4 linked regions of the Drosophila melanogaster genome follow. The protein of the gene in region 1 interacts with the protein of each later gene in a pairwise test. Each region holds a gene or a part of one and is shown in the gene's direction. Other genes may lie near its edges. The genes, in order: BNIP3, CG31600, CG32450 and tal-AA.

The links.
Region 2: the proteins of BNIP3 (region 1) and CG31600 interact in a two-hybrid assay, tested with the Drosophila melanogaster proteins (one large-scale study listed by BioGRID).
Region 3: the proteins of BNIP3 (region 1) and CG32450 interact in a two-hybrid assay, tested with the Drosophila melanogaster proteins (one large-scale study listed by BioGRID).
Region 4: the proteins of BNIP3 (region 1) and tal-AA interact in a two-hybrid assay, tested with the Drosophila melanogaster proteins (one large-scale study listed by BioGRID).

Annotation. Positions count from the first base shown.
Region 1 is NT_037436.4:20,512,841-20,521,430, reverse strand, and holds BNIP3 (BNIP3), read left to right. Parts: upstream 1-2,037; 5' UTR 2,038-2,423; coding exon 2,424-2,463; intron 2,464-4,126; exon of another isoform or gene 4,127-4,154; coding exon of another isoform or gene 4,155-4,170; exon of another isoform or gene 4,171-4,732; intron 4,733-5,298; coding exon 5,299-5,570; intron 5,571-5,644; coding exon 5,645-5,706; intron 5,707-5,807; coding exon 5,808-5,987; intron 5,988-6,047; coding exon 6,048-6,099; 3' UTR 6,100-6,832; downstream 6,833-8,590. Other genes in the region: CG5104 (uncharacterized protein), read right to left, coding at 1-16, 204-275; mTerf3 (mitochondrial transcription termination factor 3), read left to right, coding at 691-1,477, 1,537-1,814; CG32425 (uncharacterized protein), read right to left, coding at 7,745-8,293, 8,356-8,590.
Region 2 is NT_033779.5:21,912,540-21,917,898, reverse strand, and holds CG31600 (uncharacterized protein), read left to right. Parts: upstream 1-2,540; 5' UTR 2,541-2,596; coding exon 2,597-2,641; intron 2,642-2,700; coding exon 2,701-2,883; intron 2,884-2,932; coding exon 2,933-3,097; intron 3,098-3,150; coding exon 3,151-3,459; 3' UTR 3,460-3,630; downstream 3,631-5,359. Other genes in the region: CG11634 (uncharacterized protein), read right to left, coding at 598-1,494.
Region 3 is NT_037436.4:22,327,112-22,332,068, forward strand, and holds CG32450 (uncharacterized protein), read left to right. Parts: upstream 1-2,666; 5' UTR 2,667-2,782; coding exon 2,783-3,046; intron 3,047-3,105; coding exon 3,106-3,318; 3' UTR 3,319-3,546; downstream 3,547-4,957.
Region 4 is NT_033777.3:13,810,474-13,816,089, forward strand, and holds tal-AA (tarsal-less AA), read left to right. Parts: upstream 1-2,635; 5' UTR 2,636-3,052; coding exon of another isoform or gene 3,053-3,088; 5' UTR 3,089-3,165; coding exon of another isoform or gene 3,166-3,201; 5' UTR 3,202-3,272; coding exon of another isoform or gene 3,273-3,308; 5' UTR 3,309-3,397; coding exon 3,398-3,496; 3' UTR 3,497-4,175; downstream 4,176-5,616. UniProt on the Drosophila melanogaster protein: One of four peptides (tal-1A, tal-2A, tal-3A and tal-AA) produced from a polycistronic gene that function redundantly in several developmental processes.

The DNA of each region.
Region 1 (8,590 bases):
TGGACATGTCGTTGATCTGCGTATGTAATTGATTGATATTAACTAAATACTTTGATAAGCGTTGGGTCACACGGCTTGGGGCGCCATGTGATCGCGGGGCGTTGCCAGCGGCTAGCTCCTAAGCCACGCCATAATCATAATTCCTCCAGCCAGAATATGTTAAGGGATCTAATGAGATCTGTACCATTAGAAAATTTCTTCACCTGCGTAATGATACTGCTCTCCTCCTCCGGAGTGGGCTCATCTCCACTCAGAACGCGGCGCAACTTGTCCATTATGCGGCGATTGAATAATGTTCAACAGGTGGCTGACTTGGAATTACCGGCACTCCTCTCGGGGGGTTTTGCACATACAAGGGTCTCTTCTGTTTTTATGCTCCGGAATTTTCACACCAAAATAAATCCAAGATCATACCTAGTGTGACCGTGGTGGTAACCGTTAACATATACCGTCCGATTAAAAATTATACCAACAATTTGCAATTTTATATATATCTTCATAAAAAAACTAAAGAAATCAGATATTAGTAGTGCATTTTTGTTCAAGAATATCCATTTAAAAACAAATATGTTTTTATATCAAAATCATATTCAAAATATAATTTTAGCTTTTTCTAGCTAGCATGCCATATTTAGAAACTTTGGCAGCCAACTGCTGGTCACATTCGCGACATCTGGCAACGCCTCCAGCATGTTTTGTTCAGCTCTACGTAACATTTTGAGGAATTCACAAAATGCGGCTAAAAACGCAACAATTACCTCACAAATACGAAATCTGCGAGGACAACAAAGTGTCCACCATGAGGTAGAAGTGTTAACATCACCGGGTATAACCACCAAACAGAATGACAAGAAGACCGAGCCTGCGGAATGTGAAGGCTCCAAAGAAGTGGCTCTGGACTTCCGAAATCGGGAGGCCCATGTGCCTTCCTTCAATTTGGCGGCCTATGTGAACAACTCGAGTACCCTGCAGCAATTTCTCAGCTTGGGAGTGGATCTGCACAGTATTGAACGGCGAAAGGGATTGGGAGACTTTGTACTGAAGCTGGATTTCGAGAAAAATGTGAAGCCCTACATAACGTTCCTGGTGGATCAGGGCGTATCACCCGATGACTTCGGCAGGATGTTCACCAAGAACCCGCTGCTGTTCAAGGAGGACTTGGACGATCTGCAGACCAGAGTGAACTATCTAAAAAGCAAGAGATTCTCGGACGAAGCCAGGCAAAGAATTCTCACCCAGAATCCTTATTGGCTGATGTTCTCCACCAGGCGAGTGGATCGTCGATTGGGTTACTTCCAAAAGGAGTTCAAATTGAGTGGTCATGATCTGCGACTGTTGGCCACCAGAGAACCCAATGCCATTACCTACAATATGGAACACCTCCGCAAGTCTGTGTTCACCCTTAAGGAGGAAATGGGATTCAATGCCAAGGAGCTAAGTGACCTGGTGGTACGAAAGCCGCGCCTCTTGATGATTCGTAAGTCTATCTACATTCAAAATTAAGGACATTTGTAATTAAACAACTTATCCTTGCAGCTCCGGATGATCTTGTCGAGCGATTTAGTTACATTCACCAGGATATGGGCCTTCCACATGCCCAGATTGTCCAGTGCCCGGAGCTTTTGGCCTCACGCGAATTTAGACTGCGGGAACGTCATGAGTTCCTGAAATTGCTTGGAAGAGCGCAATATGATCCGCAAAAAGACCTGTATATATCGCCAAAAACTATAGTGGAAGGCAATAACTTTTATTTCGTCCGAAATGTGGCTAAAAGTGATTTGGAAACATTTGATTTGTTTTTGAAAACGAGATAAGAATAAAATAAAAGTAAATGTATATATACTTTTCATATTCATATATGCATATGCATATATTTTCAAAAGTCAACAGAAACCAAGTTTTATCATTTTAAAAATAACCACCAATAAATTTACTTGATACAAGGGATGCCAGATGTAGGAAAACATAGACACGCACCTGGATTGCTACCGTTTCTCCATCTGGTCACACTGGACAGCAACAAAAGATTTAAACTACGCATTAAGCTTGTGCGTAGAAACGAATCGTGTTTAATTTTAGTTACAAGACAGTCGCTTCGGGAGAAGCATTAAACAAAGTTGCAATATTTCGGAGCTCCAGCGGTTGGCTTCAGTCCGAAACCAGTAGTTATAGTCAAATCGAGTGCAGCGGCGGAGAAACAGCGCCAAACGAAAAGTAAAACGCATTTTCCTACGCATACATAAACAGCAAAAGCGAATACACAAACACAGGCAGACATACGGAAGGGCCAAAAAAAACTTGGTCAAACTCACGAAAGAATAATAGAAATAGTTTAACTTTAAAGCGAGTTAATAATAAGCAATAAACCCAAGTTATCTTTGGTGTTGACGTGTTGAACACACATACCGATAAACAAAAACAAAATGTCTACGACACCAAAATCGAGCGAAGATTTGCTGGGCGGTAAGTTGTTTGTTTTCGTCTGCTTTGCTCTTTCATTCGTGTTTTTTTGCGTCTCCCCTTTTTACAATCATAACAATAACATGGTAACCCGTTATGCCGCATTGTTGTTGTTGCGAGAGTATCTAGACATGTGTATGTATTTATGGAGTTGTTTGCAATTTGTTAGTATCCGCATCCCATATTTTTTCAAGGCTTTGCGTTGTCTGCTTTTTGATTTCTTTCTGCTTTTATTTGTTTACTTTGCACTTGTTCTTGCTCCGCAGAGGGGGCGAGAAAGAAAGAGAGACAACAAAGAATCCGCAAAACTCCGTATGAAAACAAAGACAAAGAAGCTGCCAACGCACTCTTTCTCCCTCCGCTCTTTCATTCATGTCATGTCTTGTTCCTTTACTTTGCACTTAGCACGCTTGACGTCAGTTGTGGTTTACTTTTTGCGCTCCCCATTTCCCCGACCCGGTCTTCTTCTTCCGTCTGGCTTGCTAAAATAATTCGTAAATAAATACATTTTGTGGGAGGGCATTTCCCTATCGGTCGTTTCCAGAAATTGCGCCTTTGGCATATTCGCTTCAATTGTATTTCGGCTGCCCACTTTATCAACATCCACGTTTACACTCGCGGAAAAACTAGGTTATATAAATTTATACTCATCAACGTACTTGAATGTGTTTTTCAAAATCTCTTAATTTTATGAAAATCGTATGATGGACAATATTCAATAAATTTTCTTAGGAATTGCACGAAATGTTGAAATATTTTGTTGACATAAAGTATAATCTTTTTGGTTGACTGCTTGAAAGCACTTTGTTTGTTTGTCGAAAAGGTTGTTGACTACCACAGAAATTATACTACAATTCTGCAAAGTCACTCACAAAAGTAATGCCGGACGAAAAATTTGTTTTTCAATTTACTACCATCCAAGCAGTATTAATCTAATCAGTTTTAGCCCAAATCGAACCATATGTTATGAAATACATCACTTTTGAAAGGTTTGACACAGTTTGGATGTGGAATTCCGTTATCAATGATAGCATATAAATATTATTCATATGTATTTCTATACGTTTGAATGAATCTGATATTAATCTTTTAAAGCTAAGTATGTACATATGTATATGAAATAAGTGTGTAAGTAATGCGCCGGCTTGATCTGTTTCTTGACCTTAAAACACGTGCGAAATGAATGACCAACTTAGAGAAACATTTTTTCTTTGTGCACTGTGCCATATACTACGCAAGAAATCGTATCATGATACCGAGGAGTCATCCATCCAATAATAAAGGCGGTTCAATGGGCCCAACTCAGGGTCTTTTGGACAGCTGCGCATCAAGATGCACACCCGACAAAGCCCGAAGAGGGTAGGGTAGAAAGAGAGAGAGAGAGGGGGAGTGATTGTTAGAGAGAGACGGAGGGTGGTTGGCCGAAAGAGAGGGAGAGAGGCCTACGTGCCGTGAGTCACAAAGCCATTGTTTTTGTTTTTGCCACCCTTCTGTGCACTTTTGCTTTTGTTTTTGTTTCCATTTTCGTACCTGTAACCCGGATTCCCGATAATGCTCCAAATATTGTTTACCTGTGCAAAACTTCTGCGTCTACCTGACATACGGGCATTTCCATTTTCTATTTTCGCAACATTTCCATCATAAATGCATCATCCTTTTCGTCTAGACGATGCATTTAGTATTCAATTGTCAGCATGATTGGTGTGCCACGTGAGTGATCTGAATTATTCTGTAACTGATTCCATCGCGAAAGTGTCTAAATTAGATGATTGTACAGTGATAACTCGAGAGAAAGCAATACCAGGAAGATTTTAAATTTATAATGTGACATTACAAAATTATAGAAAAAATTAATTTTAATTAATTAGAAAGTGAATAATAGATGATATAAGAGGCGTTGGGTGTGATCGTATGTGTGATTATATATATGCGTATACATGTAATCAGTTGGTTGTATTATTAGGTAGTTTTTAGGAACGCTACACTGTACTCCTTATCAAGTAACTTGCACGCTTCTCGTGCCCATATTGCATCGCCAGTTTGTCTTTTTTCTCGATTTGTTTTGAAAATGAAATTTTCTCCGTAGAGCATTGATAAGCATCGGCTTGTATAGACTATAAACAAAACATGTGTGCTGCTTTATATACACAGTATGCCGAAAAGAAACGGAAATTATGCGAGTGGTGGGGTTTTTAGCGTTATCAATGGGGCACGAGCACTCGAACAGATATATACAAGCACATACATTGCAGATCCGGCTAACGAATCGAACGTATGTATGGTTAAAATGTTTTTACGTGTAAACAAAAACGAAGACAAACGCTGAAAGGGTGACGATGGCACATTTTTAGAGCCGCTGCCGCCGCACAGTGGCTCTCAAACTGCACGCCTTTCTGAGTAAACAAGTGAAACTACTTTATTTTGTCAGCAAGTGTAATTTTAGACAAGGGATTACTTTAAACTGACGTTTATCAGCTTAGAAATAAATAAACTGTTTCATAAATAAACAGTTAAATAGGGTTAAACCATTCAAAACTTAAACATCGTAAAATATTGATATGTTCTGTATGAAAATTTCTAAAATTAAATTAAAAATTGTTGTTAACGAACCTAGAACGTTTTCGTTTGTATAAATTCAATAAAGAACGTCATAACGCACGTCTGTGTTTGGACTTCTCATGTTTATTCAACACGCCCCAAAAGGTTTCGACCCTCGAGCCTGTGCTATATTTAACCACCTCCAAATGCAACCAACTAAATATTTAATTTCACCCCATTTGGCTTTAGCTTTCACCCACTTTGTTCGCCAGTCTATCATGCTAATGATCTACTTTCCAGAATCTTGGATCGAACTCAGCACAACAGCTGCGATGGCTGGCATCAAGAGCCCCGACAGAATCACTCCGTTGCCATTCAACAATGGCGAGGAGTACCTGAGACTTCTGCGCGAGGCCCAGCGCGAGTCGAACCAGTCGAGCCGTGTCGTCTCCTTGGCCAGCTCCCGTCGTGATACGCCCCGTGATAGCCCCAAGAGTCCACCGAACAGTCCCCAGTCGGAGCTCTGTCCGGATGATGAGCTCAGAAACGTGTACATCAACTACTGGACCAAGGTAAGAGATGAGAATCGAGGCGGAACCGAGGTGATCTTGCTAACAATGCCAGTCTCTGTTTTTGCTTTTGCCAGGGAGGAGACAAACAGAATGCAGGCAATGAAGATTGGCTGAAGAACTGGAATCAGCCACCCAGGTATGAAAGTTTATTTAGCTAAGTTTCTAGAATCTAGAACTAAGTTTGGAGCATTGCGGCCTTTTACCACAAATGGTCATTCATTGAATTATTATTTACAGTAGCTGGAACATTGAGGATTCAAGTCGGGATGCCGGCGACGAGGGCGAGAAAAAGAAGACTAACACAGGCTACTCCATCCGTTTGAAGCGACTGGGCTCCAACTCGTTGTTCTCCCGCGAAATTCTGTACTCGCTGCTGGTGACCAACGTCCTGTCCCTGCTGCTGGGAGCTGGATTCGGGTAAGGGTCTCTAGCAATCTTCACCAGATTCACATTTCATGTAATGGTATTTATTTATAGGCTATGGTTGAGCAAGCGTGGCATACTCCTTACCCGTGTGGTCATTGACTGAAAGATGCCATAAACAAAAAGGAGAAAGAGGAAATATATATAATCGTTTTCAATCTATCAATATGCACATCAATCGAAAACAGAACACGATGCGTTCCATATAAGAAAACGAAGTATACACATCTATACAGCCAACCGTATTCCAACTCATTTGTATTTTTATCGGAAGTCTATATTTTCGACACCTTCTCATTCAGTACATACCTATAAAAATGTAATTTCTAATTACTAAGCCAGCAAACTAAAACAGGCCTTTGGGCAATGGTTGAAACTAAGCGTTTTCATATTTTATATAATTTTATATATTTAACATTATATCAAGGCAGCAAATCTAATGATACAGAAAAGCATTTATAGATGCTCCATATATTTTGCTTTAGCCGTATGTCTTAGCACCCAACCGTGCATTATATCCAATACAAATGTACGCCGAACTTCGTGTTAAGAATTTCAATTTCATCATCATACATCATATAGAACAACCATAAACATTTGTAGACATATTATAGTTGAATCGTATTGTATCCTGATTGTACTTTTTGTTGAACAATCGTCAAATGTTTCGATACAATAAGCATATAAGAAAAACGATACAAAAGGAGAAAAAAAAACAATATGGCACACATAAGATTATATCTTTAATGTGAGGGAAGGGTTATCCCCCACACAAAAAAAACAGAATAGTTGTAATGATTTTTTATATTAAAATATTTTTCAATATCTATTTAAAAGAGCATCTGCAAACATTTTTCTTTGGTGGGTTTTACGGAATTGCAAGAGATGGCTTAGAAAGTTTTGAGAATTTTATAATCTTGGAAAGACGGATTAGTGAGATGAAAGGGATTTTCAGGGAAGTGCTGCAAGGTATTTTGAGATGCCTTTTGTCTAAAAGGCATTCCCGGTGCTTGTTGTTGAATAAGTCGCCTGTTGTTTTGAAAATCGCTAGACGTGTACCTGTTCGCATTATCAAACTGTTTCACATAAGTGAGGGCTTGGATTACCTTTGTGTATATAAAGGGAAAAACCCGCTATTTGCATTTCGCCATTAATATTTTTTTGAGATTATCAGCAGTGAGTCAGTATAAGCGATAATTTCATCATAATGTGCTAATAGTCAACTAATTTTGTTAGTTGATCATTTAGACTTGTTATCAATTGCCAAGCGAATGCAATATCGATACGAACTAAACTGCCGCCCTTTAAAGTGCATAAACTAACTGTTTTTGAGTTGCTTTAGCAATTGTAATTTTATTTAAAGTTTTATTAGGTAATAGTGTCTAAATACTTAGGTGATTAACACAGTTCCGAAACTAATACATATTCCGTGTGGTTGCTGGGAAAAATCCTCGTGACTTAAAACAATATTCAATCGACGATTTGTAACTCAATGAAACGATCGCTGGGTGATCGTTGCTAGCTTTGATTTTATGCTATATAGACAGCCATAAGACGGTGAATCGAGGCAAAACTGGGATGCCAATTTAAGTACAGCATAATATCAGATCAGATTAAGATCCGCGCATTATATATATATATATTGCCTAAATCTAGATGGTTAACTATAGCTACCATTTGAGCCAATATCAGAGACGACATCGAGATGTGGAGAGAGGAAAAAACATTCTTAACTGACTTTTGGCCCTGGGCTATTCCTGACCGTTCGAGTTTCTGAGATTTTGTGCGGCGGTGCTGGTGGAGGGCGTTGGCGAGCCAGGGGGCGTGGGAGTGCGTAGGGAGCGTTCAAAGTCCTCCGCTAAATCATCGTCATCTCCCTCCTGTTGCCAACTGTCCAATGCGGAGTCGACATCGAATTCCGGGAACTTCAGCGTTTCCCCCGTCACATCCACCAGCCGAGATCGCAATCTCTGCGAGATCTCCTCCAGCTCCGTGTATTTGCGCTTGATGGCCTGGCCCAACTGCAAGTGACCCAGTTCCATGGACTTCTCGAACTGATCGATTACGGTATCTACACTGGGCGATATGGGCTCCACGTGCGCCTCGATTCCCCCAGTCACACGTCCATTGAAGTCTACTATGTTATGCCATCCGCTGGGAAAGCCTCCGCCCGCTTGTTTTTGGTTAAGATTAAGTGCAGCGAATCCTATTATGGCATCTTCATGGGGAGACGGCTCTGTGATGCCATTTGGGCTAACAACCGCCTTTTTCCAAAGCTTCAGAATGAAAAGCTTCTGGGGCTGCAAAGGAAAAATGGAATGTATTTAGGTGATCTCTTAGAAAAGGTCCTTTTAAATCATACATTGCTGCGATAATCGCGACTCACGTCCACGCGGAACTTGCTAAGCCACTGGGGCTTCGTCGATTTGGGTACAATTGGTGTGGCGTACACCAATCCTTCGTGCGACTTATAGGTCTGACTATTGCAACTGATGGCCTGGAAGGTCACATAGGTGTTGGGAGGTTCGTTGGGCGGGAAGCGCTTGGCTGCCGACTGACGTTTTACTTGCTTCTTCGATTTCCCATAGCCGGGATTT
Region 2 (5,359 bases), on another chromosome or scaffold:
TGATAATTACACTGACGAGCGGGCTTTATTTTTGGATTCAGACCTTAAGTGCCCAAAAGCGACGACTTGGCGTCACTCATACGCTCATCATACTCCCATAAAGAAAATGATTTTATGGGGCAGATGCTTGTGGTGACTCCGGAATGCTGTGCGATCGTAAATTTATTCGGTCATGCCCAGTATCAGATTGCCAAGTTGAATATAAGTATCGGCTGCAGAGCTAGAAAACATTCTTACAGTGTTCGGCACGAATAAACAAAACAATATTTAAGCGAAAAGATAACAGACCAACATTTTACCATTTCTCAATGTCCCAATAAAATTTAAAAAAATCGAATACACAGTTAGTCACGCTGTGTCGAATTAATTCGCAACCTATATACAAAAAACCTGCGTTCATTAAGACGCCCAAAAAGTCAATATCCGGAAGAAAAGAAATATTGTTATTACCGCTGACAGCTGCACTTACATTGTATATTGGCACGCATCATGAACGTTAATAACCATAAAAACACCCAAAATAACTTTAAATTTTGAATCTGCCAAGCACTTTTGCGAAATCGGATGAAAGGGGAAGTCGTGGAAGTCATTCCAATACTAAGCTTCCAAAAAGAAGATAGCTGCGTGCTCCTCCTTGTGATCCTCGATGTCTGGCAATATTTGTCCGCCAATGGGAAATACAATGGCTTTGAAATTGTCATAGATACGTAGGGTTTCGAAGTGAAAGCCGTTTTCAACTACCACGTAATTTTTCTGGGCCTTGTGTGGCTTTAAAATTGGCGACAAGTCAACGTTGGCGCAGTTTAGAAAAAAATAGGACGAGCTGAGGGCCGCCACGAGATCGTAGCATCCAGTTAGCGTTTCGTTCCAAATGGAGACGGATGCGAAGGCCAACGATTCGCACTGACTTATGGCAATGGCCTCCTGGTTATTGCGGAATGTGTGAAATGTTACTACTCCAGTTGGGTAACTTCCCAGCTTATCGTGCGTACAGTCACACACAAAAATGGGTGAAGCCATTGGTGGGGCAACCTCCGAAATGCAGGCCCTTATTATGTTAAAGTTGGAGGTGTGGCATTTCTCCAGTGCTGCCAGATAGCTAGGATGTTCGGCCACAAACTTACTAAGAGGATGTAGCTTAGACAGGATTCGCTCGACGATCTCCCCGCGAATTTTCTCTTCAACCAGAACCATGGCCACCGCATTCGAGGCAAAGGGATTATGAACCGACTCAATAATAAAGTGCAGTGCACTGTTGATGTCGCCTTCTTCAAATATAATCATCAATTGGGGAGATGAAGTGACATCGTGTCCTATATGCCGGTCAGCTTCCGATGTCATTTCGATGACACTGTGATCAGGTGATCTTCCCTCCGGGTTATGGACCATATCGTAGGTGACGACATGATCCAGTGACAAGGACTCATTGTGCTCCGACTGGGACGGATGCTCGGAATCAACTGAACGCGGAAAGTATTTAGTTGTATCGAACATGGCTTATCAAAAACTTCACTGTAATGTAAAAAATTTGTTTTTATATATTTTGAGATTTATTTGAATGGCAAACGCGATTGGATATGATTAAATGAAACATTTCTGACACATTTTCATATTTCAATTATTTTGTTATTTTTTTTAATCTACCAGGAATTCTAATATCACTTGAGTACTAAGTACTAAACCGCTCAATGCGGCGCACTCTGAGTCCTAACCATCGGCATTTATCAAAAGCAATATAGTTTTACTGGCCCCTTCCATCCATTGCCACATCGAGGGAATTCAAAAGAGCACCCATAACCCACGGTGCCCCTTATTTGTTAATCGCTTAATTTATGATCAAATGCGACAGTAAAATTAAAATATCACAAACAGATACAAAACACCAAAGTATTTAGCCATCGTCCAAATAGAATGCCAGAAATGCATTGGATTTGTTGAAATTAGCATTAATAATTATAAATATTTTGCCAAAATATTACAATTTTTATTGTGCATTTCGAACTACACCCTTTTTGACTTACAACAAAGAGCATACGATTATGAAATAACAGAACAGAGCCAACAGCGACAATTAAAATATTTAAAGCCACAGAAATATTTTTTCGCATGGCCCATTGGCGAACTGAAAACCCACAACAAAAAGTGCGTAGTAAATTTCCTAACGAGTTGAGGGACATCCATGTGGACATCAAGTGCAGCAACAATACAGCCATATACGGAATGATAATTTTGCTAACGATGACCATTTACATATATCAAGAGTAATTATAATAAAATGCCGAAAATAAAATTAAAATTAATATAGAAAGCCGATTATAAAATCATGTTTATACCTACAAACAGTTATCGCACACACTCTCATTCGTTGTAGCAAAAACAACTGTCAAAAATAGCAAATCCCATAAATCAACAATGAAATTTTGCCAGAAAAAAGGAATTGAAACACAAATAGAAAAACCTGCGTGATTTCGTATACATACATAATTGGGAAAACAAAAATTTGAATTTATGTGGTAGGCCATTATTTCCAGCTTCGAATATTTTGTCAATTTGCGTAGAATAAAATTGAGCTACGTATATTAAAATAATTCTCAAAATGGTAGAGGGCATGATAAAAAAGCTAACTGCTATTTTATTTGGGGTAAGTATTTAATCAGCAGCCCGTCTTCAAGTTTTTACTGACAACTTTTCTACACTTAGCTTGTATTGGCTGTGTTATTTCGAGTAATTATACCCTTTACTCTGCGACTTAAAAGCGCTGAAATAACCATTAATGTGCTTAACTGTTTTAATTTTCTAACAAGTACCGTTTCCATTACCATTTGCCTGAATTTGGTCAGCCTATACTTAGCCAATTTGCGTGATGATTGGCTTGTTCTCGGGGTAAGGACTTTACCAAAAAAAAAACGTGAGGTTGATAATTGTAAATTAGCTTATACCGCTGCAGATACTCGTCCTTCATTGGACTTACTTCACAATTTCAAAACAACTAGAAGCCATGAACAGGAGCTATAGTACATTCATGGATAGCTTAAACCTTAAATGGCTGGCATACTCCAATTTTAACGAGACAGATTGGCCTTCGATTGAAAATGCGGTATGTGTTATGCCTTTGCTCATTTGCCCTTTCAAGGGTTTTGCTTTTCACAGGTTTTATGCTGTGGACTGGAGGGTCCCCGTTCTTATATGGATTATCTACAAGGGGTTCCAACCCACTGCTACCATCCCGACCTTATCACCCAAGGTTGCAGTGACTTTGTTAAAAACATTTTTATGCCGATACAACATATAAGTCATTTGCAGCTCAGATTGGCTATTTTTGTGGAACTGGTAATTTTACTTATTCTTGCTGCAACGCTTTTGAAGAAATGTATTTCTTTGATCGGCGAAAGGAAACATAAAAGAGTTATTACACACGGGCTTGCGGTACTAATAGATTTAGTTAAAAACACATTTTGAAACATTAGCCTTATTAACCCTAACCAAATACTACTACTCTATACACTACCATGTAACCATTCTTGAGTACTAAATGCAGTTTCTTGTAATGTTTGTATTGTTTTAATCTATGCCACTGTATTGCATACAATATGTAGATGACAAATCGAAATGGAACAAAGAAATAAATTGAAATAAGCTGTCTTTTATTGCCGATGACAATTTGAATAAAATTAATATACAGTTTATCCTATTTTTAATTAATAAATGTCAAACATTTTGCGAGTATTGAGTATGAGTATTTAATTGTCTGATTTGTAATTTGGTTTTTTCCTGTTGTCTTTTTGTCATGGAAAATTGGTTTTGTTATAATTCGTTCGATGAGTACGAAAAAAGTTTCAAATGGCGAATGGAGTGGTAATAGGGTAGCGGAAACACACTTTGGTCTTGTGCAGCGGAAACGGAAGTGAGTATTAGAAGGCAAAATAAACTTTCGGAATGGAAAAACAATTCACATTAAGCAAAACGTACACATTTTTGACAATTCCATACCGTTATTATTGGTCTGAAAATGTACCGGTTTGCTTTTCCAAATTATAATTTATTGTCTTTTTTGGTTTAAAAATGTATATAGATAATATCAGGAAATCAATTGTGGAAAATGCATGAACGAAGGCGTGACCTAAGGTAGATGTATGAACAGTGCTTTCTATTAATTTAAAACAAATTGAATTTTCTTTATTATTTAATACCCCGCTAAAGAGATATTTTAAAAACAAGAGATAATGCTCGGATATACCGAGTTCCCCGACTGTGAGATACTAGTTACTCAGCTAGTGTGTATACGAACGCGAAAGTGCATCATTTTTCTGGGATATCGATAGATATTGGGAAATAAAATGACCGATTCGGAAATCGAAATATTGTTCAATATTAATAAGTGACTAATAAAAACGTGAAAAAATATAAACACATTTTTCAAAAGTTTGGGCGTGGCATTTTTATGCCGTTTCTGGGCGCTAGAGTGGGCGTGGCAACATGGGTCAACGATCTTGCGCTGCGTCTTTGTTTCTACAATCTTTATGCTGAATCTCGAACTTCTCGTTTTAATAGTTCCTGAGATCTCGACATTTATACGGACTGACGGACATGGCCAAATCGACTCGGCTATTGATCTTGATTAAAAATATATGTAGCTGTGTTCAGAAAAATAGCAGTGCGAAGGAAACTGAGTAATACAAAGGTATTCTTCCAAGTCCCTTTTCGGACTCGACTCTTTTTTACACGTACACTTATTACGCACTACACGGCTAGTTTTTCATGTTATCCTTTTTTTATTTACATTTTACATTACATTGAGCAAAATCACAAGTTTTAGACTGTTCATAAGAATAGCAGTGTCTGGTTTTGACCAACGTAAAGTCCCGAAATTATAAATATTTTCTAAAAAAAAGTGAGTTTGGTTAAGTTAATTCGCGTATTTAAAGGGGCAATAATTTAAAAAAAATTATTTTAGTGGGTAGAGGACAGCACTGCTCCCAGGAGAAAATAATGTTAATTTTTAAGCTAAGAAAGGAAGGAAAAACATACAAGGACATTCAAAAAACCCCTGAATATTCTGCCAAAATGGTATCCAATGCCATTAAATATGAATGGAAGCCGAAAACCGTGGTACCAAAGTCTATCCTTTTGCATCCCCTAGGGAGATAAAGTCTGAGCTGAGTGACGTTACTATTCGGTGATAACTACCTAATCGAAATTTAATTGCGAGTAGTCCCAGAAAGGTTCCCGTACTTAGCCCAAGGCATATTAAGGCAATGTGAAACTTCGCTAAAACCTACCTAAACTGGCCAGTCTCCAAATGGTGTAATATCCTTTAGACTGATAGGTCAATAATAGTGATATTTGGTGGAACTGGTTC
Region 3 (4,957 bases), 1.8 Mb from region 1:
ACAGAGTCATAAAATTGCGTATACGTACCTAAAAGGAGACAAGAAAAGGTTGTTAATTTAGTAAGCAAGTCGGCAGGATGAGACGGAAGCGAGATACGTTTGGGAAGACGTCCGGTATACTGCCAGTGACAACGCCTAAGTGGGGCTTAAAAATTCAATAAAAAATCACTTAACATTCCATAAGAAGCTTTCAACGTTACACACACAGCCGTACAACCATAGGGAGAAAGTGGCGGAGCAAACGGAAGGGAAAGTGGCCTCAAATGTGCTGTCAAATCCTGCACACTGCGAGAGTGGCAAAACTGCAGGAAACTAAAGCAATTCCAAATGGAAAACTGCTGCAAATTAATCAAATGCCTTTGCAGTACGGAATGGAAAGAGCGAGAGGAAAACGGTCAAAGGACAGGACTGGCAAGCAAACACGAGAACGTCAGTCAGTCAGTCAGCCAGTCACAAAGACACAGGCGAGCGATAAAAGCCAAAGCCAAAGGCAAGCAACCCTTTTTCCGAATCGAAACCAAACCAACCCAGCCCAACCCTTCAATCTGCACACACACTAGGGTTGTATATACTTATATATCGTAACGCATTAAATCGATAACACGATTTTTCAGCACGCACACAGCTCCCCGTCGAACCCGTACTGAAATCCAAAACAACTGGTTGACTGTGAGTTAAATTGTCAGTTTCATTACGTGGCAGCTTTCATAGCGTCTTTTGCTGTCTGCTTCCTGCCCCGGAACTCCGGAATGTTCCTTGCTTTTTTAAAGCCAAATCACTACGACTGCGCGTGAGCGTTCCCCGTCACTTCGCTTGCAGTGCGACAAGCGATTTTTCAAGTTGCCGCTTCATCGTTCTGCGGAGCTGCTTCTCCGTCTTTTTTGTTCGGTGCGGTTTCGGGGCTCTGCGTTCTGGGCGCCAACAAGTTCAATTTTCGGAAAAGGGCAGGAGCGCATCGAGAGCGGAGAAGCGAAGCCCCTGGGACTCCTCGAAACCGGCGAGTCGTGCGTTCTTGAGAACTTAAGGACCTCGACGCTGGTGAGTTCAACAAACATTTAACTGATTGCCTGGCGTGTCTTCGTGCCCAGCCCTGTCTGATTTTTTGATTTGCTATACACCTGGGAGCGGGACGGCCCTTGGCCACGAAAATGTTTAGCTTATTTGTTAGCGCTGCAAAATAAATTGTGTGTGCGTGCGGTAATTGTAAATTGCGTACGGGCAGACAGACAGTGGCGATTGTCAGTGGAGCAGCCGAGTTATTGGCACCTCTCCAACGTACGGGTATGCCATGAATTTTTGATCGAACAATGAGTGGATCGAGGGTTGCCACCTTTTGCCAATACGATGAGGTTGGCGAAGGCAGCAACAAACTAGGCTTTTGATTGCAAGTCCCCATCCCCATCCAATCCAATCTCGTTCCGTACGCCCCCAGCTAAGCCAATTCAATCAGGGGACCTGCCTGCAACCCTCTGAGTAATCCACTTTTGGCCTCCCGAAAGTGCGCAACAATTTCTTTTAAACTTCCTGCTGACACAAATCAGACCGAGGCCATAACTCAAACTATCTCCACCTCCGCTCGGCTGAATCAATAACCATAAACCGAAGCTCCTTATGCTCACGTGGAGGAGCCGCATAAAAAGTATGCCACATGCTCGGGGAAATCACTAAATTCAGCCTGAGGCAACGTGTACCTCATCATTTATGTGTGGCAGGGGCAAGAAACGGCGAGCCCGAAAACCAAGCAATGCCCACCTTCATAACTGAGAGTGCTTATCACGCCCACTTCCCCTTGATCCCCTCCTGCCGATACCGCCAACTACCGAGTACCGACTACCGTCTACATGTGACATTTGCATGCTTACTTAAACAGCAAAAAGCAGCATCTACGACAGCCACGTCGAGCTTGGCACGTCTGCGTCAACTATACTTTACATTTCGGCCAGACTGGTTTCGGTTTCGGTCTTGGTCTGAACCAGATGCTCAGTTGGAGTCTAGGACCCAGAAGGCCAAAAGAAGGAGAAGGCCCACTAGTGTTGTCAGTAGGCAGTCACAATCCTGTCGACGTCACATCAGCACACGTGTGTAGTAAAAATCAGACGTGTGGGCGCTGCTCGAGGAGCACACAGGCCTTGGCAATGTCGAGGCGCTCTAGTTGCCGCAGTCGATTCGAGTCGAGTCCTGCCTAGTCCTGCCTCCATGTACTTTGATTGCTTGCACGTTACCCGTACAATTTTCGGTATGATGGCGGCAACATTTCATGATTTCTTGTACGTGTTTCTGGCAGTAAGCACGCGTCCTTTCCTCTGCCGCGCACACCGTGTCCTGCGACCCTGGTCCTTCGCCCCACATCTATTCCGGCTCATGGGTTCCGGGGTAATGTATGCAAGCACTTTTTGTATATGACGCCGTTGCGCTTTGGGTCCTCGTCGTGTTTGTTTGCCTGGTGACTGATGATGGTTTGGCTGGTTTTGCTCAGCTCCCACTTTAGCTTCATTTTCCACCGCCACTTCTGTCGCTAGTTTTTCACCAGCAGCATCGATTCGAGCGTATGTCCTGCTAATAAATCAATGACGCCATTCCGGGGCTCCCAAGTAGGCGATGATTTATGTCTGGCTAAAGGGTTTTCACGAATACCGGGCCTAATTGAGTTGCCCTTGATGGATCAGTCATTTTTAGAGTGCTGCTTGTCCAGTACCAAGTAGAAGTCGCTTTAGAACAATCTAAAATTCGACGTTGCTGTTTTTTTTGGTTTAACATTCTCTATATACATTTTTTTAAAAATATGGATATAACGGTACCGCCGCCGGACTCGCACTGGTCGTTGAGGTTTGTGGACATCGTGAAGCCTTTTCCAAAACATACTTTGGCCAATGCCACTTATAAGATCATTCGCTTCTTTTACCCACCCTTTGCCCTGGAAACCGTCGATGTCACCCACGTGGTCAGCGATCCCGAGCTGAATAGTTTAAACGTGGGGCTGTTTGTGGTAGTTCCCTTAATTCTGGCCTGCATCGGCTATGGGGTGTACAAATATGTGCGGAGTATGGTAAGTTTTGTGCGTGGACCTATAGCCCCTGACCTCTGACCAAGTCTGACCTCGAGCAGCATACAGTGGCTAAACGGACACCATTAAAATTGTACGAGCTTGAACAGCGTATGAAAGACAAGTACGGTCCGGAATACAAGCAGGGAATCTGGAAGCGAAAGGACATTTCTGACCCCCTCCTATTAACCACTGATCCATCCGAACCAAAAGCAAAGAGATGTGAAAGCAGCAATGCCCACTGGCTGCGCAAAACCGATAGATCCGATGATTAATTAAATCAACACTCAGTTGGATCCCCACTCGGATATGACTGGGGATCTTAAAATCGAGAATCGAGGAAAGTACCTTCTCGAATCCAACCAGGCTTTGTACCCTTCTAAGCAACAAAATCGATATGATCCTTCAATTCCGTTTAATGATTGAGACCTTTTTTGCGACTGGAAAAGTGTCAGCTTTGGGCTTTCTCGTTTGGCGCAATAAAATGAAGTGATTGTTTGGTTTTTTATGTTGCAAAAACACACTGAACCCCGCAGAGCGAAGGGAAAGACATTGCACATAGGATTAGGTGGGGGTTTTGGGGCCAAGTCCTGGGTAATCATTTGGCAGCGCATGTGTCGGATTATTTTGTTGGTTTGCGTTTTATTTAAATTTGCTTCTTTCGGCTGCCTTTTTGCTCGTGCGGTGGTTGTTTGTCGCCCGAAAATCTGACAGCAGCTGAAAAGCATGCTAAGCTTCGTGCTTTCTTTTTGCTCTGGCTCAAAGCAAATTAATGATTTGCCATCAAGCAAATAAATCAAAAGCTTCAAAGCAGATCTCTGGCTTAGCGCGCTGCGCTGTGGTGCGGTGCGATGGGATCCTGGGGCTGGCTGCGATTTAAGTCCCTTTCATCTCGGCCTGCTCCACTTTAAAGCCAGTCCCGAATGCATAGTTTTATTTCGCAGCTATTTCCACTCAACTAAGCGCATGCATTGATGATATATCCCCTTCCGTGTGACACCCCTTCCCATTGACATGACATAAATAACCGTGTGAGGCTGTTATAATTTATAATCCTTGCTCTGGACCCCCAGCAACAATAATACCAACAACAACAACAACAACAACAACAACAACAACAGCAACAACAACAACAACAACAGCAGCAGCAGCAACAAGAACAAACACAGCAACAGGAGCAGGAGTAACAAGAGCAGAAATAATATGGGAATGCCAGTGCAAATATTTTTGCTTGCTCCTCTCGGTTTCTATGATCCGAGTTTCCTTTTACTTTTTTGTCCTATTTTATTTATTCGAAACCTGTGCCTCTCCCAGGTTGGCAGCACAAATATTTTGTTGGTTCCCTTCCGAGCCACCCAGCCACTATTTCACACCCGCTCGGCTGCATTTAGTTTATGTGTGTGTTACCTTTTTTCTCGGTAAAATGAGGTCAAAAGTTTATTGGCTAATAAATGTGTGCGCAAGTGGGTGGGGTGTTGTTTTCGCAGGCATTAATGTCAGGCGCAAACTGCAGAGGCTGCAAAGTTTTTGGCAGAGCTTTAATGCCGATAAACAAATTGCATGCACTTAGCTACAGGCCGCCCATCCAAGGGGAGATGGGCAAGATTAGGGCAGTCGAAATGGGCTTTAAATGATCCTGCAGCACACTCGATGGCACGATGGCCACAAAAGCGAATCAGCTGCCCTACCGACGGCTAATTACAAACTAATCAGCCAACAAATAAATTTCAAATAAATTATACAAGAACGGAATTGGCTAATGCATTGCAGTTGAACGACAGCCAGAGCGAAACAAAAAACTTCAAATCTATGTTGGGCCAACCAAACCGAACGAAAGCAAACCAAACCAAGCCAAAACTGCCAAACACACCAAAATTTTAAGCTATTCAATTATGGTTCGTTCAAAAAGAACAG
Region 4 (5,616 bases), on another chromosome or scaffold:
TTTATGAATAGCAAAGAAATCGAAAAAAATACACAAAACTGCAACATTGCATGGCCAAGTCCAAGAGCAAGAAAAGTCAGCGGAAAATACTGTTAAATGTGCACAAACCGAAATAAACAACGAACATTGACCCAAATTTTTAAAAAATCTCCAAGACCGTTTGGAGGTTTTTCTCGAAGTCTGGGCCCCTTGGCAAACATTGCATAAGTCGGCAAAAAGGAAAACCCAAGAAAACCGCAGTAGCAGCCGTCCTGGGCACCTCGGAAAAAAATATATATTAAATTGATCGAATTACAAGGCAAATGCGGCAGGGAAAGTGATCGAGGGGGAAAACTCACCGACTGACAGTTGTGCCAACAAATGTTGGATGTGGCACGTGGCGCATTTTGGGAAAACAAAAGGTGCAAAGCGGAAAGGGAAACTCGGGCCCAAACGATGCATAACGAAATTCGTGAATAAAAAAAAAGCAAAAACCATTTGGAAAGTGAAAACCCAGAAGCGGAAGCGCCAAAATGCAGCGAGGATGATGCGCATCCGGTGCATCACTTAAAAAGGTAAATTTCGGTTTTGGGGATCCCGATCCCACGCCAGGTAAATCAAACAAGCTAACGGCAAAAGAACTCCAAGCTGAATGACCCAGGGAGCATTAGGTTAATGGACAGCTATGGGGTTTCATTTCAGATGTAGTTCCCTGACTTTAAGTAAAGAATACAGGATCACAGTAGTATTTAACTCCCAAGTGCATGATTCTTTGAAAACTTTAAATAACATACACTCGAAGTACCCCTTTGTCTCTAGTATACAAATAATAAAATTAGTTCGCGATTTAAATCTAAACTAAATAAAGGAGTCGTTCTTATTTATATGTGAGGCCCAATTGAATGGTATTGGATTCGATATGCTTTCATCTGATCAATCTGATTTCAAGGTCTCAATCTGATTTCATTTCCACTCGAACCCGTGCCAAAAGGGTGTGGCGATCATCTTACAGGCGGCGAATATCTTCCCGTCTCCGGAATGGAATCCTTGATTCCGGGCCCGTGCCAAAGGGTTCCATCCCCCGCTCGTGGCAAGCAGTCGTCCTCCACTCGAATACTTCGTAGTGTGCCGGAAGTGCCCCTTTTAGTTGTGAGTTTTTTACGTCGCTGTAATAAAACGAAAGGATTTATATTTCCTATTGTGCGGCAGATGACACACCTTGTAATCCTCGCCTGCTGCTCCCGGCCTCACCAGCTGACTTGGACAACGAGCAAATTTGGGTTTAAAAATATGTGAAAGATCGAGAAATTCTGCAACACCTCGGCGCAGTATCTCATTATTACTTTTTGTCGCATCCCAGTGGCCTTTGTGAGTGGACCTGCCTCCGGTGTCGCATTTCGCGGAAGCACCCGTCGTTTCGGTGGGTCGTCCAGCACCGACTGACTGCTGACTCATGCCGAGCGTTTATCCTTTTTATGAGTCGGCAGTTGCGGCCTAAGCCCTTTGAGTCCTCAGCCTTCGAGTTGGCCCGGCTTAGGCTACCACAAATGTCACGTAAAGTGGGCAGTGGCCGTCGCGCCGCCGGCTCAAAGACCATTAATTTGGGACTTATGGCACATAAGGATATTAGCATTTTGGCAAGGATCTTCGGCTTGTCGTCTCTGTTTGACTAAGCGGCGACAGCCACAATCTGGGGTTAACATCTATATTCCCTCATTTGCACTTGGAATGGTATATTAATGGATATTTGCACTGTGGATATATATATACAACCTTACTTAGACCTGTGACCAAACAAAATCTTTGTAGTTTTCATGCTGTTACAACGATTTTTTACTATTGTAATCTTTTATTGAAGACATGTTGTTCTAAGCAAGTACGGCAGATATGTTCATAGTTAAAGAACTTCATTTTATATGCATTGTTGCTTTATCGTTTATCTTTTGGAAATCTCGGAAATTGTAATACAAGTATGACTTAATTCTTTGGTTTTCCAAATGTATTTATTAATTCTTTAGTCTCTAAATGTAAAGATCATTTCAATTAAAAAACAAATTTCCCACATTTCTTGAAAATCTTCGTTCATTTGGAAGAAAAGACTATTGTCCTACTTTGAACACCATTTTTTCGAGTGCACTTTGCCCGGAATATACGAAATTTGGCAATAAAATATACCTTAATTAGCTGCGGGCCTTAAAAGAAGGTGGAGTCTGTTGCCTCAGGATCGCAGTCTGAGAATCTAAGGACCAATGGAATTCCAGGATAGTTCTTACCTGAGCTCCTCCAACGCACACATACACACAAGATCCTCACACACGTGTGAGCAGAACGAGGCCACTCGATCAGAAACAGCTGTTTGGTGAATGAAATCCAGGTGGGTGTGAGCAGAGCGAGAGAGAGGGAGCGAGAGCGGAGAGAGAGAGAGCGAAAGCGAGAAATGCTCTACCTGGAAATGAATGAAAATACGATCGTGATCATCTCCCCACTCGCTCTCACCCACTCGCCTAAGAGAATGGTGCCATTAAGAGCGCGGCGCACCTGCCGTATATCGTGCTCTTTTGCACTCGCTCCCGCTCTTGGAGCACTCGACAGCGACGCCGGCAGCGACGTCGAGCCGGTCGAGCATTTAAGCTTACGACTTGACGAAAATCAAATCAAAAGATCGACAACATTCGACGAGTGCAGATCACCAGCTAAAAGAAAACCAGCTGAGACATCAGAAAAGTCCGCAGATATTCACGTAACGCCTTAAAGATTTTCCGTGCGGTTCCCGAACAAACTAAACATTATTAACAAACAATAAACGAATTTGTAGTGTCAGTGACTTTTGAACGCACGAAAAAATTCCCAAACACACAACCAAACGTGACTGTATATTCAGCCCCAAGAAACCCAACAACTGGTGGTGATAATAAAAGAACTTACAACAACAGCGCCGAGAACCAGTATAAAGTTCAATACCGCGCTGATTCAAATTAAACAAAGGAGAATCGACAGCAGCAGCAGCAGCAGAAACAAAAAGCCAGCTCGGTTTTGTCATTCAAGTATTTTTGGTCAATACACGGCATACGAAATGGCAGCCTACTTGGATCCCACTGGCCAGTACTAAAGAAGCTACACGACGACAGCAAGACATCGTAATCGTAGACCTCTTTTAGAAAATCCAATAAATCACAGATCTTCGCCATGGCCGCCTATCTGGATCCCACTGGTCAGTACTGAAGTTGGAGCAAGCAAGCAGAAGCAGCAATATTTTGAGTTCCAAGCCGAAAGTTATTTAAAACAGTATCAAAATGTCGCACGATTTGGACCCCACTGGCACCTACTAAGGTTCTATCGCAAGAACTCCACATAGCCAAGCATTCTAAGGCTGAATACTATACCCACTTCAAAAGCTCCACAAATACAATCCTTAAAAATGCTGGATCCCACTGGAACATACCGGCGACCACGCGACACGCAGGACTCCCGCCAAAAGAGGCGACAGGACTGCCTGGATCCAACCGGGCAGTACTAGACGCTGATATCCCAACAACAGTGCCCCATAACGCCCGTGCCTTATCCACAAACTCTGGGCATGATTGGGGGAGCGCGCTGGTTGCGCGTTCGTGGCCGCGAGGAGACTTCCAGCTGCCGGCGGAGAAGAAAGCTGGGGATCGGGGCTTCCCCAAGCGATCTTGGGGAGCCCTGCGATGGAGACTTTTGTATTTATGTAGTTTTTGCGTAGCCTATCAATACCTATTATATTAATTATTTATTATTATCATACTATTTAAATTAAATACTGTTCATTGCTGTTCACAAAACACCGATACGCACACATACATATCCTATATCCTATATTGTATCACACATACACCATATATGTTATATATATATACTATACACTTGTAATTGCTTCTTCAAATTGGAAAAGATTACGCAAAGAGTATTATGTTTAGTGTCATATTTCCCGAGCAAATCATCGTTTGTTTAAATTATCATTTATTTATTGCCAACGATTTGTAATGTTCTTTTTTTCTCTCTCTCGCTGAGAGCAAGGAAAACCATTCGGAGAGCGAGAAATTTTGTTTAGATCATAAGCGTTTTTAAGCTATTTATATGTCTACACCTTCGACCGACATCCAGAGAACCCCAACACACACCTCTCACACCCATTTAAATATAATATTAAAAGAAAACCATATTTAAAACTGAACATTTTGAGTGCATTTTTTCCTTTTTCCATCGATCGATGGGTGTATGGATGGACCAGCGAGCAGCAAAAAATTGTCGCATTAAATTACAAGATTTTCCAGATACACAGAGATACATGCCCACACACATACACACACACACACACACTGAGTTAGATCTCTGGGGGCTCCGCCGCGGACAAATTGCTGTCGGGTGAGCATAAAATATGATTTTCCAAACGGCCAGCGCATATTTGATGAATCTGTGGGCATTAATTAATGTCACTGGGCGGTCGCCGGCGGCCAAGCGGCCTGGAAATGATCAATAAAAATGGAAAAACACCGAGGGGGGGGGGTAATGAAAACGCATTTCCCAATGCAAAAATATTATCCGGACAATCGAAAGAGCGAATCTTGATCGGGCAACGCTGATGCGGAAGTAAAAGTTCAATGTTCGTTTGTGCTCCACAAGTGATTAGGTCAATAATAGCATAACAACTACAGCCGAGAACTTGTGATTCTGAGAGAGGGGCAGAGAGAGCGCTAGCTCGCAGATTTCCACTTAAGAGAGCACAGAGCTTTTCACGCTCTCAGCCAGCAGGTTTTTCCAGCAGGAAGTTCCCGCCGAAGAGGCAGTTTAACTCTTTCGCCAGAGAGCGGTGGAAAACGAGAGAGACTATTAATAGACACGCGCGCACTAGCTTTTCAGTATCAGTATGAAGTTCAGGGAAATCCACTCGCTACGAACAGCTGATCGCCAAGGTTGCTGCGCGGCCGGCGCTGATGACGTCGCCTAACGGAAAGCTTTCCCACTCAATCGAGTGATTCGAACTGAAAATGCAATTGGGCGGATCGTCTTGTCCAGCTCGGGACTCCATTCCATTCAATCTGATTCGATTGACCCGCCTGCAATCAGATCTTCCCAGGAACCCACACACGCGGTGACCCAGTTAACTTGTTGTCGCCGATATGAATGAATATCGCTTTCAGCCACAGAATGTGTATAAGCCAACTCATGTTCAACCAAAAAAAAAAAGCAGCCAGCACAAGTCACGGGCGAAGAAAGATGGGCGAAACTCTGAATACCCTGTAAAATGAATCCTGAAGCAAAAATATTCTGGAATCTCGATATTCAATTTTGATTATTGTTTTTTAAAGTCATATGCTTGACCTTGTGCCATCAATATATTTTAAATATAAATTGCAGTTTTAAATCTAATCAAGCCTTTTATATCTTATGGGATTCAATTGGTTCAATTGGTTGTGTGAAACATATTTCTAAATGTCTTATAATAACATATGACAAATTTTTTGAAAATTTGCAGGCCATTTCGCCCATCTCTTCACCGAAATGATGTGAAGTTCTTGAAAGGAAGAGTCTGTTTTCAGCACTTTCTTCTCCTCCGTAGCGAAGTGTGAATTCTGGAAACAAACTAACCCCAAAACGCTCGGCAAGGGTATA